Cricetulus griseus: one gene and its partners. The protein of the gene in region 3 interacts with the protein of the main gene of each other region in a biochemical or structural test. Links are inferred from orthologs where the notes say so. Each region holds a gene or a part of one and is shown on either strand. Other genes may lie near its edges.

Region 1 (4,401 bases), on a different chromosome or scaffold from region 3:
GAGATATTCTAGAAGAAAACTGACGTGGAAATTAGTATGTCAAGGAACTGTTGGCTCCTCTTTCCTCCAACACAATCCTCCAGCACTATGACCTTAGCAAGGGTCCCACCATCCTTTAGTGCAAAGGAAGCCTCAATTTGATAGGGCTTTATCTACTTTCCACTTCCCTAGTATTTTGCACATAACAGATACTCATGATAATTGATTACAATGAGCAAATGACTTTGAGGGTGATGGTGTCCTTGCCATTAAAAGACCGAGAGTGTCTGGCCTTAGTGGTACAATCCTTTAATCTCAGCACTTGAGAGGCAGAGGCAGGCCTGTTCTATTCAGTTCCAGGACAGCCAGGCCTACAGAGGAAACCCTGTCTCAAGGGGGGGAAAAAGACCTAGGGTAGAACAGTGACCACTTATAACCAGGAAAAGACAGACACCCAAGCTTTTCTAAAGTTGTGAGGGTGAGAGAGAAACATTCATGCTAGGGTATCCAGGTGTTAATTCCAAAAGAATGATTCCATGAAACCAAAGCATGTTGTTACATATACCTATAATCCCAGATTTTGGGAGACTGAAGCAGAAAGACTAAGAGATAAAAGCCAAGAAGCAAGCAAACTAAATGAAGGCAAACCAGAAACCCCAGAATGTTACAAATACTGGATTCGAGGGATTCAGGTAGAATGTCCCTGGAAAACTCAAGACAATCAGAGCAAGGTAATATTTCAATTTCAGGATGTCTCCTGCTGCTACCTCCGTTCTAATTATCACAATGTAATATGGTTACACTACACAGCTAGCCTCTTTTCCCTAACTTGCCCTCACCTGCCTAGCTTCATTTGTAGTTATAGAAATGTGTGTCTTATAAAAATCACCTTACTATGCTAAAGCTCACAGGACTTATGAGTAAAAACATGTAATTACAGGCCCACTACAGGCCCACTACTCAACAACTTGACCAACGACTTTTAGAAAACGTGTAGTGTCCTTCTGCAAGTGTTAACTGACTGGCACAACTAATTATGATACTGTAAGCTTGTTTATGGAAATGAGCCTTAGTCTACCACATTAAGTTACTGTCAACCTGAGAAGGAATGCTTGCAGTACCACACCTGCATAACTGTGGCTCTTAAAGTAACGGAAGTACCTTTTGTAAGGTAGTTCAGCAGGCTTTAATTTTCTGATTTTTTCCCTGCTGTTTCTCAAAGAAACAGTACAGCAAACTCAACTTCCTACTATGTACAATGTGTTCCCTGTTACATCAACACCACTGGAAGGAATGTTAAGTCCAAAAAAGCATTTTAAGTAGAACAGTATTTCATTTCCAGGTACCCTAGATGTCACTCACTCACTCTAGGCTCTTTTCTATTACTGTGCCTTAACAGCTGGGAGACAGAGACAGGCCGACCTCTGAGTCCGAAGCCAGCCTGGTCTACAAAGCAAATTCCAGGACAGAGAAATCCACTCTCAAAAAAACCAATCCTGCCGCCCCTCCCCCCACCCCACCCCCAGTGGTAAACACCGTGTTAAAAAGAAAGCTTTTCAGAAAAGTTGGAAAATCACATTTAAGCAATACAAAGGCCAGCAAGACATCTTTCCACTCACTCCATATCGAACTCACAGGTAAACCCGAACCCAATTTGTTTATCCATAAAACAAGCACAGGGTGTATTTGGGGTGGGTGGAGCGGTTTCCCTCTCACCACTGTCAGGAACTATATAGTCAATCTGCGTCCAACCGCAGACAGAAAGACCTGGGCCTCTTCCCTATTTATGGACCTGAGTCTCCTTCAACCACTTGGGCAGCCTAAACTGAGCAGCAGACTGCAGAAGAACTGAAAGCTCGAAGCGCCTATGGGCACAGACAAGTAAAAAAAAAAAAACAAAAGCAGAAACGCCCAGATCTGGACTCCTCCCTCGCGAGTCAAGCGGTAGACAATGGCGTCCACTGCAACCGTGTTTAGGATTAAGATCAGGTTGTTTCCTATTCCTGTGTACAGATGTGCCGGGGAGGGAAGGACCTCAGAGGGTGCAGGGCTGGGCCAAGTCTCAATCGCACGCTTCACCAACCATTAGTAAGGCAGAAAGCGGCTCCTGGAAGCCCAAACCCCATTCAGTTCCAAGGCCCGCAAGCGTCCTCAACTCTCCCAGCTTAGACAGGGCCCGCCACGCGGCTTGGGTGCCCCAGTAAACTCGCAGGCCCCAGGAAGGCGGGGCGGCGGCGCCAACACACAAAGGCTGCGTCGTCACCGGTGAACAAAACCCTTGCTCAGAGATCCTCTCCAATCGGCCCGCCCAGCCAAAAGAGTGACCTTGGACGCGTCCTTCCCCTCTTTGAACCTCAGTTTCCCTTCCTAGTTTGCAAAAGAAGTCCATCCGGCCAGGCCGCGGCCAGGTGGGCGAGAGGCGCCCCAGAGAGAGACTTCCCTATTTCCGACGCGAGCGAGCGAGCGCCGCGCCGGGATCCGACACCCGCGCGCTCTCGGGGGCCGAGGAGGCTGAGTGGGCCCGACCCCGAGAGGTGCGGTCCCGGGCTGCCGAACGAGCCGCGACTGGCGGGCACCAACTCGGCTGCAGGTCGAGAAGCCGTCCGCGCCCCCACGCCCTCGCCGTCCTGGCTTGCCGCCTCCATCCTGGGAAGCCTGGTCTTACCTGGAGTTGGTGAGATCAGGCAGACGCCACAGCCAATGCGCTCCAACAAGGACGTGCCTCCTCCACCAGCCGCTGAGGCGACCCGCTCAAGCACGACTCCACCGCCTCACCGAGACCCACTTCCGCTCGGCCGGCCCTGGCCCGCCCTTCACAGTCCCCATTGGCCTTCGCCGCCCTTATTCCCGTGCTCTACCGGTTTAGGAGGCTCATTTGTAATTCTATTGGGTAAGAGAACTATCTATTACCACTTTGAAATGCACCTTCTTCCGGCCACGCCCCCGCCTGCGTGCCCGAGTTTCCACGTCTCGCGAGAGTTCCGCCGGTCGCACTCCTCCCGCGAGAACTTGGTGGTGTCGTTGCTGGGGCGCTGTGCGAGCTTGCTCACCTGCTGCTTGTGACCGACCCTTGTCTTCTGACCTGGTTTACAAGCGGCCTCATGGCCGCCACTAACACTAAACCGTAGTCCCCACCAGTCACTCCATGCCCATCTCAGGCTCCTCGGTCGTTGATGACACCTACGGGAGACTGGCCCAAGGTCCCAATTTTCTGGTGATCCACAGGCAACCTCGCCGGGATCCGCACCCCAAATGCCAGGCCCTGAGTGGGCGTGTCGGCCCCCACGCTCTTCACACGGGTCCCATCGGGAGTCCCGGAGGCTCACCTGGAGGAGGCTTGAGGACTAGACGGGAAGAGAACGTCCAGCTAGACATTTTGTGTGCCATAGCCGGGGGCGGGGGTGGGGGAGGTGCGTGCATGCCCAGGAAACTGCAGGCTAGCTGCCCAGTGTGTCAGGAGCAGAGGCGAGGGGTGAGGAAGACAAAACTCAGAAAGGAACACAAATGCTAACTACTCGCTGTCCTTCAGAAGAATGACCTGAGAAGAACCGGCCTCGGGAAAGGCTAGAGCCTGGAATTCTTGGGTCTTGGGACATCTCATGTCCCTCCTATCTATCTGATAATGAAAACCAGCAGCATGATTTTAGGCAAGTCTCAGCACATTCACAGCTGTTAGAGGGGATCCATTTTACCTACTTAGGAGAAAGAGTGTGAGGCTTAACAGATAATACTAGTGCATGCTAGGCCCTCCTAGAGTGCAGCAAAACAGAATGGCACTACAAAAACAATGCTGTTTTTCTTGAGCACCTGCCTTGACAATTAGAAAATGATTGATAAATAGCAACTAGAAAACATGAATGGTGACCCTCAGGCTGTATGAAGATTGCTGTAAATGTGCTTCTGTAGAGTGCATTCAACTGGAATGACAGCAGGTCAAAACCCAGCGTTAATGTTTGTGCTATTACAATCTCTGATATTTTATGGAATTTTAAGGGAATTTATGATGAAAGTAGGTCTGATAGACACATATCTGACTCCGATGTAAAATGTGTGTTTGGATGTCTTGAGTATATTCTTCAAATGTTATAATTGGAATAGAGAAAATTTACAAGTTTGAAGGGAAATGTTGGCATTCCTTATGAAAATATTTTGAATATTTAATAAGGCATGTGAGAGCAGAATAGGAACAATACACCTTGCAAGGTAATGGGAGAGCAAAATAGGAAAAATACTTTTCAAGTTAATAGGACATTTTATATGTAGAATATAGTTCAAAGTGTCTAAAGAAATTTCAACTTATAAGCAGGACCGTATATGTCTAATCAAAATCCTACTTAAAGTGACCAAATTTACAAATAAAATAAAATTAGCAATTTGCCCTTCTAGCCTAAGAAAAGGGATTTTTTTTTCTTAGTTTTTCAA
Region 2 (3,271 bases), on a different chromosome or scaffold from region 3:
AGCCTTGCTAAGGGATTAGGGACACATTTTGCCCTGTTTGCAGGTTGGCACCTTTGATGAGGTCCAGTGGCATGATCAGCATGTGATCAGAAGACTTGATGGTCGAGTATGCCACTGGCAGGCTCACTGTCTCCTGCCCCATGGGTAGCTTGTCTTCAGCCATGCAGAGCTTGTCCTGGGCAAAACAAAGGCTGCCTAGCCCTTCCTTCTTTCTTACCTTTAAATTCTTATTTTCCTCTAGCTTTCTCCAGGCTTCTCTGTCTTCTTTCTATTTCACAAAGTGTAGGATTTTGTGTTTTCTTTCTAGATTTATGTGTGGATGTGGGTGGTATGTGTGTAGGGAAACTATTTTTGTGTGTACATACAGAGGCCAGAGGAGAGTTGTTCTGTAACTCTTTACTTCATAACCTTAGAAAACATCTGTCACTGAACCTTAGCTAGACTGGTGACCCACAAGCCCCAGCAGTCCTCTTACCTCTTTCCTGCCTGGTGCTGCGATACAAGCACTGGATTTTTGTGTGAATGCTGAGGATCCAAATTCGGGTCCTCATGTTTGACCATCCAATCCTCTTACCCGCTGAACTATCTCCCAAGCCCCCATCCTTCTTCAGATTTAATGCTTCCTTTTTAGTTTCTAAGTTCAAGTATCTCTCAGCCACTTGGGCTATCTGTTTTGGGGAAGGATCATTTGATTCATTTCTCCCAGGGATAGTGTCTCATATCCTCTGGTAGTACTTGGAATAAATGGCCATGGTATTCTTAGTTCTTGCTGTTAAGTCTCAAGGGGAGGTCTTGATGCTTTTCCCAAAGCACATGAAGTAAAGAAGGAAGGGTATCATTAATAACTGCTCAAGCCTCAGGCCTAACTATTTCCCCTGCCCAAGGGTGTCTGCTCATTCTAGGCCTATGCTGATGTTGGTCTGTCCCTTTTGCTTCTCTACAGGACTATGACCTTTGTATCAATTGCTACAACACAAAGAGCCACACCCATAAAATGGTGAAGTGGGGACTGGGCCTAGACGATGAGGGCAGCAGTCAAGGTGAGCCACAGTCCAAGAGCCCCCAGGAGTCCCGGCGTCTCAGCATCCAACGCTGCATCCAGTCCCTGGTCCATGCCTGCCAGTGTCGCAATGCCAACTGCTCTCTGCCATCTTGCCAGAAGATGAAACGAGTAGTGCAGCACACCAAGGGTTGTAAACGCAAGACTAATGGAGGATGCCCCGTATGCAAGCAGCTCATTGCTCTTTGCTGCTACCACGCCAAACACTGCCAAGAAAATAAATGCCCTGTGCCCTTCTGCCTCAACATCAAACACAAGCTCCGCCAGCAGCAGATCCAGCATCGCCTGCAGCAGGCCCAGCTCATGCGCCGTCGAATGGCCACCATGAACACCCGCAATGTGCCTCAGCAGAGTTTGCCTTCTCCTACCTCAGCACCACCTGGGACCCCCACACAGCAGCCCAGCACACCCCAAACACCACAGCCCCCTGCCCAGCCTCAGCCTTCACCTGTAAACATGTCACCAGCTGGCTTCCCTAATGTAGCCCGGACTCAGCCCCCAACGATAGTGTCTGCTGGGAAGCCTACCAACCAGGTGCCAGCTCCCCCACCTCCTGCCCAGCCCCCACCTGCGGCAGTAGAAGCAGCAAGGCAAATTGAACGTGAGGCCCAGCAGCAGCAGCATCTGTACCGAGCAAACATCAACAATGGCATGCCCCCAGGGCGTGCAGGTATGGGAACCCCAGGGAGCCAGATGGCCCCTGTGGGCCTGAATGTGCCCCGTCCCAACCAAGTCAGTGGGCCTGTCATGTCTAGCATGCCACCTGGGCAATGGCAGCAGGCACCCATCCCCCAGCAGCAGCCAATGCCAGGCATGCCCAGGCCTGTGATGTCTATGCAGGCCCAGGCAGCAGTGGCTGGGCCACGGATGCCCAATGTGCAGCCACCAAGGAGCATCTCGCCAAGTGCCCTGCAAGACCTGCTTCGGACCCTGAAGTCGCCCAGCTCCCCTCAGCAGCAGCAGCAGGTGCTGAACATCCTCAAATCAAACCCACAGCTAATGGCAGCTTTCATTAAACAGCGCACAGCCAAGTATGTGGCCAATCAGCCTGGCATGCAGCCCCAGCCTGGACTTCAGTCCCAGCCTGGTATGCAGCCCCAGCCCGGCATGCACCAGCAGCCCAGCCTGCAGAACCTGAATGCAATGCAAGCTGGTGTGCCACGGCCTGGTGTGCCTCCACAGCAACAGGCGATGGGAGGCCTGAATCCCCAGGGACAGGCTCTGAACATCATGAACCCTGGACACAACCCCAACATGGCAAACATGAATCCACAGTACCGAGAAATGGTTAGGAGACAGCTGCTACAGCACCAACAGCAGCAGCAGCAACAGCAGCAACAGCAGCAACAAAGCAGTGCCAGCATGGCCGGGGGCATGGCAGGACATGGCCAGTTCCAGCAGCCACAAGGACCTGGAGGCTACGCCCCAGCCATGCAGCAGCAACGTATGCAACAGCACCTCCCCATCCAGGGTAGCTCCATGGGCCAGATGGCTGCTCCAATGGGACAACTTGGCCAAATGGGGCAGCCTGGGCTGGGGGCAGACAGCACCCCCAGCATTCAGCAGGCCCTACAGCAGCGGATTCTGCAGCAGCAGCAGATGAAGCAGCAGATTGGGTCCCCAGGCCAGCCGAACCCCATGAGCCCCCAGCAGCACATGCTCTCAGGACAGCCACAGGCCTCGCATCTCCCCGGCCAGCAGATCGCCACATCCCTTAGTAACCAGGTGCGGTCTCCAGCCCCTGTCCAGTCTCCACGGCCCCAATCCCAGCCTCCACATTCCAGCCCATCACCACGGATACAGCCCCAGCCTTCACCACACCATGTTTCACCCCAGACTGGCTCCCCCCACCCCGGACTCGCAGTCACCATGGCCAGCTCCATGGATCAGGGACACCTGGGGAACCCCGAACAGAGTGCAATGCTCCCCCAGCTGAATACCCCCAACAGGAGCGCGCTGTCCAGTGAACTGTCCCTGGTTGGTGATACCACGGGAGACACACTAGAAAAATTTGTGGAGGGTTTGTAGCATTATGAGAGCATTGGGTGTTTGGTTTTTTGTTTTGGGATTTTATTTTATTTTATTATTTTTTGGGGGTTTTTTGTTTTCTTTTTTCTTTTTTTCTTTTCTTTTTTTTTTCTTTTTTTTTTTTTTTTTGTTTTGTTTTGTTTTGTTTTTCCCCCCTCCCCTTTCATGTTCTTGGACTTTTTG
Region 3 (3,748 bases):
TTTTGGAATCAGATGGAGGAGTGAGGGCTGCAGATGTGACCAGAGGTTGCCTTGCTGAGCCAGGAGGAAAAGATTCTGGTGCCAGATGCTCTGTATGCCCTCCTGTAGGCTCTCCTCTTTAGAAATGTCTTGCTTAAGTGGTCCACTCCTGCAGGCTGGTTGGGAGTTAAGAGAAGAGGTGAATAGGGAGTTTATAGCTGCCTAGCTTAAGTACTGCAGTGTTCCTCTGCCTTAGTGCATGGCTGATCTCAGAGATGGGGGGCGGGGGGAGGCAGGGCTGTGTCTAGGCTAAAAGGTAGACCCAGCCTTTCCTCCGGTTACAGCACAGAGGAAGGGAAGGAGGCATCTTGTTAGTGAGACACCCACAGGTTCCCTCAGAGAAGGCAGACTTAGAAATGAGGCTTCCTGCCATGTGGTGTGAAGATGAAGGCGCTAACCGAAAAGTCCAGCTGTGTGGCACTCCAGGTGTCCTGCTCTGGAAGATTGCCTTTGAGGCATAAAGGAACATCACCAGAAGGAGATGGGAGTCATTGCCAGGAGTCAGGTAGAAGCGCCTGGGGCCACAAAGGGGCTTTTGAAGTAATGTTTGAAGCTAGAAGAAGACCAAGGAAGATGAAGCCCGTGTGTCATGCCAGTGGCAGCAGAATCGACTGGGCTAGTGAGCCGGCTCTTCAAAGGCTGGCAAGAGTGAACATTCCCAGATCAGGGAAGGACAAGGCCAGGGTGGCTCAGCTCTGCCCCCAAGTCCACTTGTGAGGATAGACACATACAGACAGAAACCCTTCTCAGATACCTCTAGCTTGTGTCAAGTTAACAAAACAACAACCAAGACAGCACTTATGCTTTCTCTCAAGCCAGAGGCATTAGCTGGAGGCCACAGCGAATAGAGGTCTCAGCCCCAGGTGATAACTCCATTGACAACCAGAGCAGTCTGTAAGAAGACAGACCAGGGCCGTCTCTCGGCTCTGTCCCAGCAGTTCCCCATCTGTCCCATTTGGCCCTGTCTAATGTCCAAAAGTGACATGCATAGGATATTCACAAGCTGTGCTGTTAAGTGACTATGTATTATCCTCAGACACTCTAACCTGTCTGTAGCTCCAGGTCCTTGAGAAAATCTCAGAGGTAGAGAGAGCCCTTCCCATCCTTGAGGCCTAGGGCCTTTGAAATGGTGTTCCAGCCAGGACAACCTTGCCACTGCGCTGGAGAGCCAAGCCTTTTTGCAAGCCTGGGGTGGGTTCCTGAGCTCCAAGGCTCCTCAGTGCAGCTGAGGTATGGATGTGGAGAGCTGAAATCTCCAGGATCTGAGGCTCCGAGCTGCTCCCACCCAGACCCTCTCCCAACCAGGGAATGCATGTCCACCAAGATGTGGACGTCAAGAGGCCAAGTAGCCCTTCCTTTCCCTAAACTGAAAGACACCATGGGTCAATCTGGTTTTGAGGGCTAGGAAAGCCAGGCTCCTGCCCCTTCCAAAGAATCGCTTGGGGCTGTGGATGAGACTCCTATCTCGTTCTCATCTGTGCCATTTGTTTCTTCTGAGTCTGCTCAGAGAGGAAAAATTTGGAGCAGATACCTCAGTCCTTGCATACCTGAGGCATTGGCCCCTTCCCTGAGCCTCCGCAAGCAGGCACAACTTGCCCCACCCCACCCTACCCCATCTCACACTTCACATACTTGTGCCAACACTGTCCATAGATTCATACCCCTCACACGTGCATCCCACGTACACATCTGTACACACACCCATGCTCACCTGTATGGTCTTGCCCTTTCACACCTCCCTCTCTAAGGAGTGTGACCCAGTTCACACCTGCACACGCATCCCCTCTACTCTACCCTCTGGTGCACACAGATGCTCTTACTGTGCCAGCTTAGTAACATTCCTACATCTTCCTGTATGTGTGCACACTTGCTCTAGAGTGCAGGGTCATCTCACCTGGTCCTTCGGGCCTCTGAACTCCTGACCTATTGGCTTTTTTGTGTTGCAGTCCTCCCTCGAGCTGGAAGACAGCAGCAGTGAATCCAGTGACCTCCAGCTGGAGGGCCCCAATTTCCTCAAGGCATCGGACGAGAGCCTCGCTGACCCCCAAGCGGAAGACAGGGCCCTGGTTTTCTTTGACCTCAAGATTGACAGTGAAAGTGGGTTCCCCAAGAGCTACACCATCTCTTTTACATCATCTCTTTTTTTATCTTAGTCTCTGAGTCCTCAGGAAAAGTGCAGTTAGAGACACCTGGAAGGCTCCAGCCAGCCCTTAGCACTGACAGGCTGTGGCAGCCAGGTAGACAGAGGACTCTGACCCCACCTAGGATATCTGATGTTGCCATATCTGCCTAAGTGGAACGTGGGTATGGGAGGGAGATATGTAATGCCATCGGTTCACGTCTGACAAGACCTTCTCTATACAGAGAGTCTGGGAACAGTGTGTGAGCTCATTGCTGACAAGTAATCCACACTTGACCTTTGGCTACAATCACACATTTCCCCAAACAGGGCCCAGCCCACAAAGGGATACACAGGGAGGCTTGCAGAACCTAGATCTCAGGGAGTTGTGACTCCTCCTCTTAGAAGCCCCCTGTCTTCCTCGCTGTCATCCTTGCCCAGCCCCTCAGCTCTGACCCTTTGTCCTGGCTAACAGTTGTGGGCCCTGCCATTGTGGCTGGCCTACCAGACAGAAGCATCAGGTATTTGCATAGCACACATCTGTAGGCTTCAGGGGGAGACTCTGGGCCATGCCCTTAGGGGGTACACAGGCCATTTCTGTTGTCTTCAGTCCTGGGCTGGTACTGATGGGGTTGGAGGTAGGAGTAGGATTATAGAAGGCCCAGAAGAAACCCTCTGGGGTCTCTGGTGGAGGTGGAGGCTGAGAAAATACAAAAAGGGCAGAGTTCTTAGGATTGAGCAAACTCTAGGAGGGCAGGAGGGATAGGGAAAACCACCTTGCCGACAAGTGAGCCCCCGACCCGTCCCATCAAAGCTAGGCAAGAACTACATTGGTTCAAGAACTATTTGGTTCCTGCCAGCAGGCCTCAAGGTGGGCTCTCTAGATAGTGGGTGAGCAGCCTGGCCCCTTGCACCCAGTGCCTCCTAAACCCTGGAGCCTTACCCTGCCCTTCTTTCCTGCCTAGCCCAGAAAATTAGCCAACTGGCAGCTGTGAACCAGGAAAGCAAGTTCCGAGTACTCATCGAGCCGGAGACCTTCAGTGTCTACTCTAAGGCAGTCTCCCTGGAGGTCGGACTGCAGCACTTCCTCAACTTTCTCACCTCCATGCAGCGCCCCATCTTGGCCTGCTCTAAGCTGTGGGGGCCTGGGCTCCCCATTTTCTTCAAGGCCCTGGATGATATTAACAAGCTGTGGGAATTCCAGGGTGCCATCTACGGCTTCTTGGCTGTGTTGCCTCTCATTCAGGAACGCATACCCGGTGCCAGCAGCTTCAAACTCAGGAACCTGGCCAAGACCTACCTGGCGAGAAACATGAGTGAACGGAGTGCCCTGGCTGCTGTGCTGGCCATGCGAGACTTGTGCTGCCTCCTTGAGGTCTCCCCAGGGCCACAGCTGGTCCAGCATGTCTACCCCTTCAGTAACTTACAGTGCTTCTCTTCCCTGCAGCCCCTAGTTCAGGCTAGTGTCCTGCCCCCGGCCGAGGCCCGCCTCTTGGCCCTCCACAATGTGAGCTTTCTAGAACTGCTGACTGCATACCGCAGCAACCAGCAAGAGGGTTTGAAGAGGTATGGCCGCTATCTGAGCCCGCA
Region 4 (3,748 bases), on a different chromosome or scaffold from region 3:
CATGGGAGTGTTTCCCCAAATGTCCCCCCCAGCCCCTCTGCCTGCTGTATCTCTCAAGGTCAGAGATCAAAGTGTTTTGGGAGACCTAGGTTAACTTCAGGAAAAAAGCAACAGCAAACTCGCCATAGAGGCCTGTAGGGGAGAGTTGGTGACACTAGGGGCCCGATCTCAGTCCCTGGAGCTGGTGGAGAGACATGTGGGTATGTCAGAGACAACCAGGCTTCTTGTGGGATGGAGGGACTGGGGAGGTAACCAGAAATGGGAACAGGTCTCCTGCCTTTCCCCATATGGCTCCAGGAAGGAGGAGGTGGGCTTGGAGGTGAGGCAGCTGCCTGGCAGAGCTGACCTTCCTAAAGACCCCCTAGAGCCATGTGTGGCAGAGCTGGGGGTGGGAGGAGCTGGGTGTCTCTCTAGACCTCTGCCCTCAGAGTAAAACTCAGCAAAAGAGCCCGCTGTCACCAGGCTGCCCCACCTGCTCCCACATGCCACTTGAGATCCACAACTCTCCCCATTTAGTTACGAAAGCTTCTTTGAAACCCTCTGCTCACAAAGAGCCCAGGAAAGACAATCCACATGACATTAAAACGATACAAAAACAAGAAGACCCAAGTAAAATACTCTGACAGCTTAACACAAGAGCTGAGAACATATCTGACCAGGCCCAGCCAGTTTCTTGGAGTACCAGTGGAAGTAAACCCTTCACCTTGTCTGTCTGTCTGTCGGTCGTTAAGGCACTAGGAGGGAATGATGTAAAATCAAGACGGCAAGGGCTGTAACGGCGGTGCCAAGGGACACACGGGGAGGGTGGCAGCCCCGCTCACACCCACTCGTGCTCATGCACACTCACTCGCTCGCTTAGACCACCACATTGGTTCCATGCCTATGTTATATCACTTTTTTGTGCAATTATATTGAGGAATAGTCTATTGGTATCACTGGAGTTGAACACAAGGTAGGAAGCAAGGGCGCAGAGTGCTACATTCTACTAGGGTGTCCACGACGACCACTAGCCCTATGCTACAAGACTAGGGGTTGATTCAAAGAGAAAATAAAATCTCAGAAAAGAAAAATAATTAAAGACTGCAACACACATTACTAATGACATCTGAGGAATAACATTGCTGAGAGATTTATCCAGAATGCCCCAAAAGAGGAAACCCGCCTCTCTCCTGAGGGGTTTTCCATCAGTCTGGCTGACCCCACTATTCCTGACAAATGAGCCAGAATTGGGCTTTGCCAACCCCAGACCATCCCCCAAATATGAGCCTCCTCAGGCCATGGCCTGACATTTGAAAGGGGTGTTGACCCTTTTGGAGTTCTGGAAAAATCCCTAATTTTCATATTCAATTAATTAAAAATCTATTGGATTTCCACATCAGGTGTCCCTGACAGCAAATTCTTCAGTGTCACTTGCTGCCCTATGAAAATAATCTTTAAAAAGTTCATAAAGTTCTTCAAACACTGGGGCCCCTTGCTTCCAGAATCTTCCTGTAGCTCCTCTTTTCCTTTCCAGTTTGGTGCAGAATGGGTTTTGAGCTGTTTTTTTTTTCTTTTTTCCTCTTTTGTTACTAACATTTTTTCTTTTTCTTTTTTTCCTTTTTCTTTTTTAAAATAAAAAGCATAGATTTCCCACTCCTAATCCTTCTAAAATGTTCTCTGCTCTGCTCTGAGTCCTCCCACTTCCTAGTTCAAGTTTCATCTGTGTCCCAACTGTGTGTCCCTCCCCCTCCCCCCGTCCTGCCCCATTTGCATTGTTGGTGTGCGGCACCTGCAGTATAAAAATCCAGCTCCCTGGGTCTGTTGGGAGCTCCTCCACCCCGCTCCCTGCGGGCCCCTCCTGTGTTTATATGTAAGGGTACTGGTTGACCTTGGCAGGACTCAGTGGATATCCAGTGTAGACGGTGGAGGCTGGTGAGGCGCTGATGTACGTCTGGTGGGCAAACTGGGCCGGATACTGACTGGGGTGGATGGTGGGTGAGGGTAGGACCCGGGGCCCCATGCTCACAGGGACTTGGTGGACGATGCTGGCCGGATAGGCAGTGTGCTGCACAGTGTGGCGTGCTGAGCCTTGGGATGCCACCAGGTGGGCTACGGTGCCGGTGGAGCCTAGGGCTGTAGGTGCTGTATAGGTGTAGAGGTGAGGCTGGGTAGGAAGGTGGGCAGCAGCAGCCAGGTGGGGATGCACAGTGCCATGGCTGGGGCTGTTGTGCGGGAAGGTGTATGGAGCCTGGGCCATGGTAGGAGTGATGTAGGCCTGCTGTCGACGGTGATTCCCAGTCCGGTCTGTAGCCATGTGCTGCTGAGCCTGAGAAGGAAAAGTAGCAGAAGGACTGTGTTAGGGGGAGGAGGGGAAGGAGAAGGAAATCAAGACTGACAACAGATGCCTCCCTTCAAAAGCAGAGAGCATAAACATTTGTTTGGATTGGGAAAGTAACATCTGCCTGGCAAGTCACCAGACTAGGGCGACACTCAGCCAGTCCACAAAGCCAGTGGACGTTCTACTGAAGTGGTCTCTCTCTCTCTGAGTAGTGACTGCCTTCCCACATGTTGTGAAATCTCACTCTAAAACTGGTGACCTCTAGAACCAATCCAAACAAAGAGCATTCTCTCCTGTAGAGAACCCAAACCACTGGGGCACTTGAGCAAGTCGTAGGGTACATTATCCATGGGTCTGGGGTGCTGACTGCGAGGACTTCCTACAGTGAGGCAACTTCAGGGCTAGCCTGGTGACCCAGAGCAATGGCAGGTCACTATGCCCACCTTTTTGTGGGCCCATGTGGGTCATCTGACCAGCAAGTCAGCTCTGGCACCATGTCATTAAGTACTCTATCTTCCCTTTGCTTGGGTTGGCTCTCTGAACCAGTGATACCACCTTTCCCAGGGTTGGTCTAGCATAGGAATAAGCCATCAAGGCCCCTTAGGCTGCTGAGGTTTACCTGGCTGAGATTGAGGGGCTGCTGCTGCTGGAAATGGGGGCCTGGGCGTTGCTGCCGATAGGCGATGGCTCCTGATGAGCTCCCTGAAGAGTGGCCACTGGTGGAGGTCACGGTGCTGGAGGACTTGGACTTGAAGGAGGATGAATGGTGACTGGTACTAACGGCTGCAGGAGGGTGGAGAGGTCATAGGTTAGCGGCATGTCCTTGGCTATCTAGAAGACCTGCCCCCTCCCCTTGTAAACAATAGCCTTCCAGGAAGGACATGTTCCTGAGACTGCTCAGGCATGAATCACTCAGTCCCTGGGCCTGGTCAGGCATTCATTCACCTTGACTCTGGAGAGGCAGTTGGGCTCTGGCCTTCGGCTGCATACTGGGCTGGAGTTGCAAATGAGGGAGACGGGAGTAACAAAACCCAGGGTAAAGGCACAGGTCCAAGCTGGGCCCCACACTGGTCCTCTATGGCAAATGTATAGCAATACCTGGGAGGTGTGTGGAAGGAAGGAGGCCTGCCTGGATCCCTTCTGGGTAGCCAAGGGGATTAGACGTGATCATGCCAAGGGATGGCCCTAACAAACAACTGGGGTGAACAGCAGAAGCTGCAATAACCCTGCAGCTCTCCAGAACCAAGGCAGGATGAGACTAGCTCTCCCAGGGAGTGGCCTAAGAACCGAATGTGGCTGAAATACCAGCTGTTACTGACAATGTAGAGACTCTCTCCAGGCAGGAAGGGAGCCTTGCAGCTGGGGGTGGCATGAGAGTCTGCATTCTGGCACATCCTGGGTGCAATGCTGCTGGGTGGGAAGGAGACTGAG
Region 5 (4,203 bases), on a different chromosome or scaffold from region 3:
GGAAGGCCCAGGGGGAATGCCGAGGCCGGCAGGGAAGGGGACAGTGAGTTGACCAGCTTCTAGTACCGGCATCAAGGAAGGTAATACTAACGCCTGGCAGCCCGGTACGGTGGACCTCATCCGCTCTACTTGCAGATGAGGCCAATAAAGCTCAGAGAAGTTCCGAGATTGCAGTTAGGCCATGAGAGAACCGAGCTTGCCACCTCTTTAGTCCTAAGTGGTGGAGAATGGAGGTCGGATAGCAGAACCCTAGGACAAAAACCACTTACATGTGTCTAGCGCTTCCTAGAGGCCACACAGGATATGAATCCACCAGCGGGCGGGGAGGGGAGACTTTAGCCTGCTTCTACCAGGGACTCCCGCTTAGGCAGCGTGACTTTCGGGCGAGTCGGCGGCGGCTCTCAAGACTTGTTTTCCCAGAAGCAAATCAGGAGCTGGGGGGTGGGGGGTAGGGCGGGCGCGGGTTGCGTATGCGCGAGACGCGCCCGGGCAAAGGCGATCGCTGGGGTTTCCTGAGTTTTGAACCCTTAAATGTTGATTTTGACCCCCATGGATGCTGGGGTCGCCCCTTTATTTCACGTCTAGAAAGCGCGTCCCTCTGAGGCAAAGCGAGCCCCTCCCCGCATGTCTCCAGAGGGTGAAGTGTTGTGCCGAGGACCCTGACGAGTCGGTTCTTAGTACCGCAAATCTCTAGCTTCCAGGTAGAGCACACAGCGGCACAGATCCTCCTCTGGAACTTAACCAAGAGATAAACTTCCACGCGTGCTCAACGTGGGAGGGACACTCAAGCCCGTTCAACTTCAACACACTTTCTCGCTCCCGCACCCGGGGCGCACACAACCATCTTCACCCGCGCCGCTGCCTCCCGGAAGTGTGGGGGTGCAGAGCCTGCTGGAGCTCAGGTCGCTCAGCCCCTTCACGTGTGTGCGTGTGTGTGCGTGTGTGTGTGTGCTTGTGTGTGCGTGCGTGCGCGCGCGCCACCTCCACTCCCCACCCAGGCCTTCCGCCCGGGGCCACTAGCGAGCCTCCCCAGCTTTCTGGATGCCGGTGTCTCGATCCCCGTCCCCAACCCTGAACTTGAGCCCGCCTCCGACAGACGCCGCAAGGGTCCAGCCGACCCGGCAGCCTCCGTCACTAGACAGCCAAACCAAGACGTCAGCCCACAATGCACCGGGCGGGCCGGGAAAGACGCGCCGGGGAGGGAACCCGGGAACACAAGCCTGAGCGCCGCGCGGGAGGGGGAGGGAGGAGGAGAAAGAAGGGCCCAACTGTAGGAGCGCAGCGGAGCATTACCTCATCCCGTGAGCCTTCGCGGGCCCAGAGAAGAATCTTCTGGGGTGAGGTCTCCATGGCGACAGGCGGGCCCGCCCCCCTGAGAGCGACGCAGGCCAATGGGAAGGCCTTGGGGTGACATCATGGGCTATTTTTAGGGGTTGACTGGTAGCAGATAAGTGTTGAGCTCAGGCTGGATAAGAAGGACTCAGAGTTGCACTGAGTGTGGCAGAGACGTCCTGGCAGGAACGCGCTCAGACAGAGAGGCAGAGAGAGAGAGCGGGACGGACGGAAGGAAGGACGGACGTTCTCGGCCAATCTGGACGGCCGCGGACTCCGGGCTGCTCATCTGTTTGTCTTCATTTTCTCACCGACTACCTGGACCCAGCGCCCGCGGCTCCAGCACCGGTGTTTTGGGGAGCACTTGGAGAGTCCCTTCTCCCGCCTTCCCCGGAGAAGCAGCTCGCAAGTCCCTGCGCTGCTGACAGCATCGAGAGCGGTGCCTGCCCGAGCGAGGAAATAGGCGAGCGGCTACGCCGACCACCAACTTTCCTGACCCAGAAGACCGGGAACAAGTGGCCCGGAGCGAACTTTTGCAAACCTTTTCAGCGCCTTAGGCTGCCCCCGAGACCGTAAAGAAAGGGGAGAAGAGGAAGAACCCACACTCAGCCCCGCTCGCACAGGCGGCTGAAGTTGGGCGAGCGCTAGCCGCGGCCGCCGAGCGTCCCCCTCCCCCTCACAGCGGAGGAGGGGACAGTTGTCGGAGTCCGGGCGGCGGAGCCCGATCGCGGGCTTCCACCGACAGTTCCGTGACGACTGGTCAGCGCCGCCGGAGAGCTGCTGTCGCTGGAGCTGGTCTGCGGTCTCCGAGGAACTGCTACTACCCGAGAGCGCTCCGCGAGTGACCGCGACTTTTCAAAGCCCGGCAGCGCGCGGGAGCCGACCAACGTGAGTGAAGGCGGTACCTTAACCCTGCGCTCCCTGGAGCGAGCTGGGGAGGAGGGCGCAGGGGGGGAGCACTGCCGACCGGAGCGCGCGCTCTTAGACAAACTTTACTTGTCACAGACGCAGGGACGCGCGGGTGTCCCCCGCTTCCCAGCGCGCTGTTGCGGCCCCGAAACTTCAGCGCGCAGCCCAGACGAACCCCGCGTGAACTGACCGACCGTTCTATGACTGCAAAGATGGAAACGACCTTCTACGACGATGCCCTCAACGCCTCGTTCCTCCAGTCCGAGAGCGGCGCCTACGGCTACAGTAACCCCAAGATCCTGAAACAGAGCATGACCTTGAACCTGGCCGACCCGGTGGGCAACCTGAAGCCGCATCTCCGCGCCAAGAACTCGGACCTCCTCACGTCGCCCGACGTTGGGTTGCTCAAGCTGGCGTCGCCCGAGCTGGAGCGCCTGATCATCCAGTCCAGCAATGGGCACATCACCACCACGCCGACCCCCACCCAGTTCTTGTGCCCCAAGAACGTGACCGACGAGCAGGAGGGTTTCGCCGAGGGCTTCGTGCGCGCCCTGGCCGAACTGCATAGCCAGAACACGCTGCCCAGCGTCACGTCGGCGGCACAGCCGGTCAGCGGTGCGGGCATGGTGGCTCCCGCGGTGGCTTCGGTAGCCGGCGCCAGCGGCGGCGGCGGCTACAGCGCCAGCCTACACAGCGAGCCTCCGGTCTACGCCAACCTCAGCAACTTCAACCCGGGTGCGCTGAGCAGCGGCGGCGGGGCGCCCTCCTACGGCGCGGCCGGGCTGGCCTTTCCGTCGCAGCCCCAGCAGCAGCAGCAGCCGCCTCAGCCGCCGCACCACTTGCCCCAACAGATCCCGGTGCAGCACCCGCGGCTGCAGGCCCTGAAGGAAGAGCCCCAGACCGTGCCCGAGATGCCGGGAGAGACCCCGCCCCTGTCCCCCATCGACATGGAGTCTCAGGAGCGGATCAAGGCGGAGAGGAAGCGCATGAGGAACCGCATCGCCGCCTCCAAGTGCCGGAAAAGGAAGCTGGAGAGGATCGCCCGGCTAGAGGAAAAAGTGAAAACCTTGAAAGCGCAAAACTCGGAGCTGGCGTCCACGGCCAACATGCTCAGGGAACAGGTGGCACAGCTTAAACAGAAAGTCATGAACCACGTTAACAGTGGGTGCCAACTCATGCTAACGCAGCAGTTGCAAACGTTTTGAGGACAGAGTGTCAGGGCTGAGGGGCAATGGAAGAAAAAAAATATAACAAAGACAGACTTGAGAACTTGACTGGTTGCGAAAGAAAAAAAAAAGTGCCCGAGTACCGAAGCCAAGGGTACACGAGATGGACTGGGTTGCGTCCTGACGGCGCCCCCAGTGTGCTGGAGTGGGAAGGACGTGGCGCGCCTTGCCTTGGCATGGAGCCAGAGAGCGGCGGCCTGTTGGCTGCTAGGCTTTGCGATCGGGCTGTGCCCGCGAGACCAGAACGATGGACTTTTCGTTAACATTGACCAAGAACTGCATGGACCTAACATTCGATCTCATTCAGTATTAAAGGGGGGCGGGGAGGGGTTACAAACTGCAATAGAGACTGTAGATTGCTTCTGTAGTGCTCCTTAAGAACACAAAGCAGGGAGGGCTAGGGAGGGGAGGGAGGCTCGTGAGTGCCAGGCTAGACTGCAGATGAACTCCCCTGGCCTGCCTTCCTCAACTGTGTATGTACATATATATTTTTTTTAATTTGATGAAAGCTGATTACTGTCAATAAACAGCTTCCTGCCTTTGTAAGTTATTCCATGTTTGTTTGTTTGGGTGTCCTGCCCAGTGTTGTTTGTAAATAAGAGATTTGAAGCATTCTGAGTTTACCATTTGTAATAAAGTATATAATTTTTTTATGTTTTGTTTCTGAAAATTTCCAGAAAGGATATTTAAGAAAATACAATAAACTATTGAAAAGTAGCCCCCAACCTCTTTGCTG
Region 6 (4,219 bases), on a different chromosome or scaffold from region 3:
GTTCCATAAATATTGTTCTCACTCAACTCCCAAGTCTTATTTGCCTGGGACAAGGATAACATCTCCCTTATACTTGCACAACGAAAAGACATAACACAGTGACATTCTTTTTCAAACTAGGAATAGAAATAAACTGGTCAGTTGACCCCTTAAGTCTATGATTATACCAGAAGCTCTCATCCTGTATAGCTCTGAGAAACTCATCCCTTGCCACTGTAGCTTAATCAATGGTACCTGTGTTCTGAGCATTCCTGACTACTCGTCGAGCCTTAATCACACACATGAAAAATTTCACACGAATGTTGTTTTTACTCATGGCTATTTCCTAGAAATAAAGAGAATTTGATCCAAATAAATAGATGTAGAACAAAGTGTCAAAGGTTGACATGGTCTAGGGATACTTAATACTGCTGGGTTTTAGGACTTGGCCATATAAAAAATCAGTATATAAGGTGATATCATAATCTACTTTTATATATACAAGTCAGGATCCCCGAACAAGCAAGTTCAGATCCTTCCCTTTCCCAGTTGCTGATAGTATGGAAAAGGCTGCGAGCTTCAGAGGTTTTCCCTACTTCAAGACTGAATTCAGACAGGCAGTTAACTGGGTCTAGAATTCTGAAGCACCTCTCCAAGGCTTCTAAGTAGGGTCTGACCCAGAGACCTACTAAATTAGGGAGCTTGGTAAATAATTTGAATGAACAAACTTAAAAGTTTGGCATAGATTACATGTTTAAGACCTCTGGTGTGCCCCATTAGAAATCACTGATTTAAATTCCTCCAGTTACTTAAGGTTCTGCAGGCTGTTAGAGTCTAAGCTAAGATGTTCCCGGAGTTTCTCTTCCCAGTCTCTGGTTGCTACCCCAGCCCTACTTCCTGTGATCAATCAAGCGCAACAAGATGCACACTAATTTCCAGAAGATATAGTTTGAAATCGACTTAGATCTCAAATCCTCATTTGTCAAGGAAGGCACAACTATGTAAAGCCACAGCGAAAAGCTGCCATGGAAACCTGAACCTAAGCAAAAAAAAAAAAAAAAAAAATCAACGAACGGAACCAGAAGACAGCGGGTAAGGGAGCGGAGGGACAGAGAAAATCAAAGGACGGTGGGCGCACTAACAGCACTCCAAGTGTGAGAAAGAAGAAAAGATCAGTCTGGGCCTGACGGGGCGATTAAGACTAGACTCAAACGCTTCCTTGGCTTCTCAGCCTCGCCACCTCGCGCAAGCGTCCCCCGAGTCCGTAACTCTGCTCTTTGACCTCTTGCCCCACCCCCTTTCTTCCTCGGCGGCTGCCCAGCCGTCTTCCGGTGCCGTAAAGACGGTTCCGGTTCACGGAGGTTCCCGGGCTTTGCGTTCTGAGCCCGGCCGGAAACTCCTTTGCCTAGCAGCCGGTTCCGGTTCGGTGAGTGGCGGCGGGAAACTGGGGGAGGGGTGAGGATGGAGGGAGACTGGGCCGGGAGTCTGTGTCGGACCGGGCCCGCCGGCCTCCGCGGGGCTGAGCGGAAGCGAGGACCGCGGTGGGGACTGTGCTTTTTCTTCCGCCCCGCCCCCTGGGACCACCTCCACTCCCCCCTGCTGTCCGGTGGCGGCTGTCTGACCCGGGGCTGGTAGCTGGGCTTCCTGAGGCCGCCCTTTGAGGCCTCCGTCTCCTGACCCGCGGAGAGGCCGTCTCCCGGCGGTCACAGCAGGCCCCTCTCAGCGCCCAGCTCTACTTCTCCACAGAGAAAAAGGCCGGTTGGGATTCCTGGAGTTTCCCGCCAGAGCAGGGTCCCCTCCAAGGGAGAGAGAGAGCTGTTTCCACCAAGAAGTTCAGCTTTCAATCCCACCTGCTTCACCTGTCTTCTTTGAGACCTGAATGATACTTCTCGACTACTTCTGTGTCCCACGCAAACAATTCTACAACTCTTTTACCCTGTGGTATTTCCCTGAGATGCGATATCGCTAGTGCCACCACCAGAGAGAAACGTCTGGACCCTCCTGCACAGGTTATGAAAACTCCCTTAACTGCCACAGTTTTCTTCTTACCTGGCTCATCGCCTCTTGGTAATTGTCTTGAACCTTTGCTTCGTGATCTTTCTGGATACGTGCTAGGTTTCCCTGGTCTCGAGCTTGGTGATTTCTGTTTTATCAGTACCTCTACAGTTTTTCTGTTATCTTGTTGGCAATAACTCGCTCCTTTATCACTTTAAACTCACACTTGTTAAAATTATTTAGTTCGTGTGACATACTTCTTGTGTTAGAGCGGTGGTGATTCCTGTAACAATTTCTGTCGTCTTTTATAGCCTGTCAACTGTTTGACTTAAAGTTTTTCGTTGTAATGGGAAATTCTGGATGAAGTAGGTAATATGCATAAGTATTCTCCCTAAAGATCATTTGTATTCAGGATCTAGCCTTTTACCTACATTCAGGACTCTTGCTGACATGTGAAGTACAGTGCCTTTGATGTTACAGTGACACCTTAACGAATGACCTTAATCTTCCAATTAGACTGCCTGCTCCCAGTCCCTGTCCCTTTTAGAGTGCTTCTTCATTCATTCATTTTACCTGATTTCAGTTAATTATCCCAACTGCAAAAGTGGATATCCTGTCACTCATCTGTTGGATTACGTCTAAAGAGGAAGTGGATGAGTAGACAAACAGGTTCTGCCACTTGTGGCTAAAGAGTGATGTAATTTCTTTCTTTCATTGACATCTGTTTCTCCTACTAGTTGTACCAGTTTTGCTGGATCTGTGAATACATCTGGCATCCTTTACTAGCCTATGAATTTATTTATTTGTTTATTTATTTATCTATTTATTTATTTGGTGTTTTGAGACATGGTTTCTCTATAACAGCCCTGGCTGTCCTGGAACTGACTCTGTAGATCAGGCTGGTCTAGAACTCACAGAGATCCACCTGGCCCTGCCTCTGGAGTGCTGGGATTAAAGATGTGTGCCACTACCACCGGCAAGAAAGATTTTCTTAAAAGAAAAAAATTGTCATCCTTGCTAGAATTTGATGACATCTAAGGCTCCTTATCTATGACTTCATGCAGAATCTTGGTTTTGTTGTTGTTTTTTAACTCTCTTCCAACACTATTATAAACGTAGGTACTAGAAGCACACCGCAGAAGCAAGATGTATTGTATTAAGGTGTAAACATAGAGCTCTAGCCATCTAAACATATAAGCCAGGATAGATGACCAAAGCTAGTCGGAGGTTATTTTTCAATTGCCCAGGTAAATCTTTGAATGAGGGTGTTTGAGGGATGTGAGGCTGTGCTGTGCTTCAGATGTGCTCTTGCTGGGGAATTCTTCCTTTGGCCTCATTGGTGTGATTTCATGCAAGTCATTTAACTTTTCTGAATTACTGACTTTGTAGTAGGTTTTCCCCTTCCACATCTCTAAAATGAAAAAGAAATTAACTGGGGTTGTTCTTCTGGATAGCAGATTTTCTTTTCTTTTTGAGAGAGCATCTTGCTGTATAATTCAGAGTGACTCCAAACTTGGAATCTTTCTACCGTCCAAGTTCTGGATACCATACTCTTAAATTGGTCTTTTCCTTCTCCTTTTTTTTTTTTTTTTTTTTTTTTTTTTTTTTTTTTGTGAGTTAGGGTTTCTGTGTAACAATCCTGGATGTCCTGGAACTCCCTTTCTAGACCAGGCTGTCATAGAACTCACAGAGATCTGCCTGCTTCTTCCTCGAAAGCACTGGGATTGAAAGCATGGCCACCACCACCAGGCTGGGCAGTCTTTTTAAAAAAGATGGGTGGAGTGGGCTACTCACAATTAGAAAGTGACCTTGGTTGATAGGCTGCTCACTGAAGCAGCCTTCCTTGTGTGCTCTTTGTTATTGTGACCATTGAAAAAGCCTGTTGACATCTCAGTCCCTTGAATACTTGGAGAATTCAGAATGGCTGTGGACTTGTGAACCAAGTACTCAGTCTTAACTATGGTACTAAAAGTGGGGGTGTGTATACATGTGTGGTTATGTTAATTACGTAGTTCCAAGCAGTTAGGCTCTTAACTACCCCAACCCTTTTCTGGGAAAATTCATTATCTGTAACTTCACTTTCTGCAGTTACAGTTACAGTCAACTGTATTTAGAAAATAGATGGAAAATTCTATATTTTGAGATAGACTATTCATGAGAACACATACACATAGAGTGTGTGTTTTGTTATATAACCCTAGCTGGCCTAGAACTATGTAGACCAGACTGCCTCAAACTTATAGAG
Region 7 (4,381 bases), on a different chromosome or scaffold from region 3:
TCAGATCTTGGAGTTACAGACAGTTGTGAGCTGTCATATGGGTGCTGGGACTTGAACCCGGATCCTCTGGAAGAGCCCAACTGATGACAATAAAGAGCTATGATTCAATAATTGATGGCATTAGAATTATACAACATCATTTTGAATAACTGACAGTATTGTGTAATAAAAATAAGGCAAGGGAAAAAGCTCCTCAGACTGAGTGGTTAAGTGAATATTTTATACAGAAATTACTAATAAACTAAGAATGTTGCCACAGTCTGACTTTCCTTTATAAAATCCCAGCACTGAGAAGGGGATTGGGCACAAAGCTTCACACTAACCAAGAAGCTATTTGCAACTGCTAGTTGTTGAGAGGAAAAGTCAGTTTTCCCTGGGTATATCAACTGCACTCCAGGGCAGGCCAGCGCAAAATATACTCCATGTTGCTGTTGTTATTGTTATTGTGTGTGTGTGTTTTAAGACAGAGAAAGAACATGAAGTTCCATGGTTAGGGAGTGGGGAGGAACTGGGGGAGGGGAAAGAAAATGATCAAACTATATTATATGATAAAAATTTTAAATAAAATTTAATTTAAAATTTTAAGTTCTTATTTTAGCAATTACTTAAGATATGATACTATGGCAACTGAGGATAAAACAAAATCTGTGGCTTTTGTAATCATGCTAGAAAATGAAGTGGTAAAGCACTTAATATTGTGTAGTGAGTTTCTTCTAGTACTTTACAATTCTTATTCTTACTGTAGGGTAAGCTATAATGCAGGGTCCATTATCCTAACGGAACATGTCACCTCTATGATGTCTTTTCATTTGTACATCTTAAAGCATTTGTGAACATTTATTAATTCTAAATATCACAGGCAGATACACCAGCGAAGTTAACAGGGCAAGAAAAGGTAAAATGGTTCAAAGCCAATTGATTAATCAGTAACAAATCCGGAAAAGGATATATATTCTCTCTCCTTTTACTTGAATGTGATCCCAAGATCTTGCTGCCTCTGCCTGCAAGGTGCTGGGCTTTACAGGGTTGCACAGTCATGTCCAGCCCTGTCCTTATGCTGTAATTTCCCTTTTCTTAAAGAATCTTTGTGTTATTTATCTTTGATGTTAAGCAACATATTACAAAATAAGAGTTTGACAATAATGAGTTTAAACAATGAGTCAATAGAATTGACTTGTTTCAATAAAGATTCTGGTATAATTTGTTAGGACGGACTGAGAAAAGACATTAATAAATTCTAGCAGCAAGACAGCCTGTAATTGTGCATAGTTTCCTCACACTTCTATTTTTCTACAGCTATTTTAGTCCTTAATCTTCTCCTTCATGCAACTATTTAATAAACATAATATATTACTGAACACCAGTAAAACAACCAAACCACGCCTAGGAATGCAGTATAGTGTCTTACAAATACTACTTTTATTTGGCAACAGAAATCTTCTATATTATACAAAGAATTAAATTTATAATAAACACACAAAGCATCCTATGGTTATATATAACAAAAATTACTATGCAAAAAAGGCATATTTAAGTATTAAGGACCTAAAAATCCAAACTCTCCCTAGAAATCTAACACCTACATTTCATTGAAAAGCTGCAGAGGGTGGTGGTGCACACCTTTAATTCCAGCACTTGGGAGACAGAGGCAGATGAGCTCTGTGAACCTGAGGCCAGCCTGGTCTACAAGAGCTAGTTCCAGGACAGCCAGGACTACATAAGTTCTTATTTAAAACAACAACGAAAAACAATCCAAAACAAACAAAAAAAGCTGCTAATTTCTGACATTGTTAGTTTTGATTTACTTGAAACAAGAATGATCAATTCCAAGCAGGGTTTAGTACGGTTTGTGAATAAAATGATTTTAAACGATGCACTGTTAATAGCCGCTAAGCTTCAATCAGTGAAATCTTAAATGGCTTACCTGCGCATTGGCTTTCCTTCCATGCACCATGAAAAGTATCTTTCACCGTATTCAAAAGCCGTACCTTAAGCAAGAGAAAAGCAGTAACTTACTAAAAACTGTTTCTGATTCTCCAGCAACCTTTGTAATCATTTCACTCATTTCGTCTGTAATCAAGAATCTTACATCCCGACATATTTTTTGTGCAGATGCATAATCATAAGAGAATGCAATGCCTTTAAGATGCCTATCATTAACTAAGGAGGCTAAGTCAATTGATTACTCGTGAAGGTGAGGGAAAGCGTGAAAGTAGTCATGATAGCTTCTCGGTCTTGTCTCCGTTCGAAATGCACTTGGAGATTTTTGTTTCGTTTTGAACTTCGCCCCCAAGCATATTTGCAGAACAAACACTTGATACCACAGCAGTTCTAACTCAATGAGTCGGAGCGGAAACATGTCTTAAACACTGGAAGGTTGTTAACTCATTCCGAAGTGACAGAGAGCAGGCCGAGGCATTTGCTTTTTAAAAACAACTCAGCTTCCGACCAGCCCGGACAGCTTGAACAAGGGCAGGGAAAGTATAGCTCCAGACTTACACTCTCCAGAGCCCTTGTCTTATTCCCCGAAATACTGTCCACCACTAGGATCTCACTGGCTTCCAAAGGTGACGTGGGAAGCACAGTGCTCACTCCCCTCAGAATCCCAAGTGAAGCTGTCCAGGATGCGGAGCCCTAGCGTCCCCAGAAAGCACAGCACAGCACAGGCTTCCCCTGGCTTCAAGACACCTTGGTCGGCCGGCAAGAAGCGCAGTCTGGCGCCCCGCAAGGCCCAACCCGGGCGCCCCAATAGTCTCTTTTCGGGGCTGACTGACAGGCGACCTACAAAGCACTGCCCTAACCGCACTGGGGCAGTTCGGCAAGTTGAGATCACAGATCCGCACAGCGAGACCTGGAGCTCTGCTCTCCATCCCCTGCTCTAAGGCTCTGACTTACTGGCTTTGACACTTTTTTCTCTGCAGCACCCTTCTCTGCCTCCTCCGCCCTCTCTGCCTCCACCTCTGGCGCCGCTAGCGCAGGCAGGATGCGGCTCCCACAGCGATTTCCTTTCTCGGCACCCGCCCCTATCCAGAAGCAGGAAGTGATCCTGTTCCTAAATCCTTCCCGCCGAACTGCACATGTTCGGGTAAGTGGTTCCGTCCTGGTTCCGGAAGTTGCTGCGCCTCGCGCTGTGTGTTTCCTATTTAGTGTTTCCGGATAATTTATTGATTTTTTTTAAAAACGGAGGCTTCCTCCCCTCCGCCTCCTTCTCCCCCTCCCCCCGCTATGTTTTACAGCATAGGCAACAGGAAGATGGTAAGTATTACCGGAAGCTAGGAATCTTGATTTGCTTGTAGCTTTTGGGTCCCTTTTTAGGGGATGCAATGCGGTCCATGATTGTGGATTGATTTCTTACCTCATGCATACAAGGAGTTGACTAGTATCTATCAGGCTCCTACTATGTGCAAGTCTGAGGATACACAAACAAATCACAAGACAAATCACAAACCTTTCCCTCTAATTTTCCACAGCACAGTTTCAAGATACTGGAGTTTAATCCAATATTCTGATGGCATCATTTTCCTTTAATATACTTTTTTGTGTGTGTGAACCCACTTTAGTACCAAGAGTAAAAAAACCTTTTTGTATTTTGTTCCAAAAATTTCCTCAATAATTAGCCATCTTATTTTTACAATATATTTTAAAACCAACCAAACGAAATAGGGGAAAGGTGAGGATTACAGTTTTGAGTATATCAGTTGTTTATTTTTGAAAACTATACTGCACTTAACTAAATCTTCTTTACCTGATCATTAAATGAAATCTACAGACTCTGTATAGTTGTTTCTGAGAGGAAATATTCCTAATATTAATCAACTTGTAGTGGGTGGATGATTAGTCCTCAGTATTGAAGGATTTATGACCATCATTCATATTTTGCTGATGGTACCAAAGCATTATATAACTTTCAAAAGGGCAAGGGCACCTGTGAAGCACCTTTTGGGGATGCACAGCATATCAGGGTTAGAGCCAGGACTTAATGCCATGTACAATGGTTCTAGAGTTTGGCCACAGTTACATTGCGTCTCCCTTCAGAAAGGCTCAAGAGTTTTTGTTCATCTATACTATTGGTATTTTCAACTTTAATTATACTTTGCCAATCTGGTGGCTATAAAATGGTTTCGATGTACATTTCTCTGGTTCATTGAAATGTCATTTTATATGTGCAGCTGGCAGTTAGGTTTCTTTTGTGCAAATTGCCTAAAAGACATCTTCACAGTGACCCTTAGAGTCTTCCAAAATATGAATTATAATTTTGTGGGATAACTAAGCTCAATGGGGCCTGACAGCTGGCCTACAGCATGCGCAGTAGATATTTCCTAACAGCTAGCCTGGGTCTGCCAGAGGGCCTTGACAATAGCAGTAAGTCTGACGAGAGATG

What was found.
Region 1: of the proteins of Pml (region 3) and Rnf4, one has a biochemical effect on the other in vitro, tested with the Homo sapiens proteins (3 studies listed by BioGRID, with this or other methods). The link is inferred for Cricetulus griseus from reciprocal best matches to the Homo sapiens genes PML and RNF4.
Region 2: the proteins of Pml (region 3) and histone lysine acetyltransferase CREBBP form a complex in vitro, tested with the Homo sapiens proteins (2 studies listed by BioGRID). The link is inferred for Cricetulus griseus from reciprocal best matches to the Homo sapiens genes PML and CREBBP.
Region 4: of the proteins of Pml (region 3) and Hipk2, one has a biochemical effect on the other in vitro, tested with the Homo sapiens proteins (2 studies listed by BioGRID). The link is inferred for Cricetulus griseus from reciprocal best matches to the Homo sapiens genes PML and HIPK2.
Region 5: the proteins of Pml (region 3) and transcription factor AP-1 form a complex in vitro, tested with the Homo sapiens proteins (2 studies listed by BioGRID). The link is inferred for Cricetulus griseus from reciprocal best matches to the Homo sapiens genes PML and JUN.
Region 6: of the proteins of Pml (region 3) and Senp1, one has a biochemical effect on the other in vitro, tested with the Homo sapiens proteins (2 studies listed by BioGRID). The link is inferred for Cricetulus griseus from reciprocal best matches to the Homo sapiens genes PML and SENP1.
Region 7: the proteins of Pml (region 3) and Klhl20 form a complex in vitro, tested with the Homo sapiens proteins (3 studies listed by BioGRID and IntAct, with this or other methods). The link is inferred for Cricetulus griseus from reciprocal best matches to the Homo sapiens genes PML and KLHL20.

The regions. Positions count from the first base shown.
Region 1 is NW_023276807.1:103,322,476-103,326,876, reverse strand, and holds the start of Rnf4 (E3 ubiquitin-protein ligase RNF4), read right to left. Parts: upstream 2,803-4,401; 5' UTR 2,645-2,802; intron 1-2,644. UniProt on the Homo sapiens protein: E3 ubiquitin-protein ligase which binds polysumoylated chains covalently attached to proteins and mediates 'Lys-6'-, 'Lys-11'-, 'Lys-48'- and 'Lys-63'-linked polyubiquitination of those substrates and their subsequent targeting to the proteasome for degradation.
Region 2 is NC_048600.1:42,574,259-42,577,529, forward strand, and holds part of histone lysine acetyltransferase CREBBP, read left to right. Parts: intron 1-943; coding exon 944-3,088; 3' UTR 3,089-3,271. UniProt on the Homo sapiens protein: Acetylates histones, giving a specific tag for transcriptional activation. Mediates acetylation of histone H3 at 'Lys-18' and 'Lys-27' (H3K18ac and H3K27ac, respectively).
Region 3 is NC_048597.1:169,823,970-169,827,717, reverse strand, and holds part of Pml (protein PML), read left to right. Parts: intron 1-1,985; coding exon 1,986-2,136; intron 2,137-3,123; coding exon 3,124-3,748.
Region 4 is NW_023276806.1:189,474,966-189,478,713, reverse strand, and holds part of Hipk2 (homeodomain-interacting protein kinase 2), read right to left. Parts: intron 3,101-3,748; coding exon 2,937-3,100; intron 2,306-2,936; coding exon 1,844-2,305; 3' UTR 1-1,843.
Region 5 is NC_048595.1:53,811,065-53,815,267, forward strand, and holds transcription factor AP-1, read left to right. Parts: upstream 1-1,351; 5' UTR 1,352-2,220; intron 2,221-2,337; 5' UTR 2,338-2,441; coding exon 2,442-3,446; 3' UTR 3,447-4,184; downstream 4,185-4,203. UniProt on the Homo sapiens protein: Transcription factor that recognizes and binds to the AP-1 consensus motif 5'-TGA[GC]TCA-3'.
Region 6 is NC_048595.1:394,574,011-394,578,229, reverse strand, and holds the start of Senp1 (sentrin-specific protease 1), read left to right. Parts: upstream 1-1,413; 5' UTR 1,414-1,991; coding exon 1,992-2,046; intron 2,047-4,219. Other genes in the region: Pfkm (ATP-dependent 6-phosphofructokinase, muscle type), read right to left, coding at 235-316. UniProt on the Homo sapiens protein: Protease that catalyzes two essential functions in the SUMO pathway.
Region 7 is NC_048598.1:30,929,892-30,934,272, reverse strand, and holds the start of Klhl20 (kelch-like protein 20), read right to left. Parts: upstream 3,045-4,381; 5' UTR 2,896-3,044; intron 1,989-2,895; 5' UTR 1,948-1,988; coding exon 1,925-1,947; intron 1-1,924. UniProt on the Homo sapiens protein: Substrate-specific adapter of a BCR (BTB-CUL3-RBX1) E3 ubiquitin-protein ligase complex involved in interferon response and anterograde Golgi to endosome transport.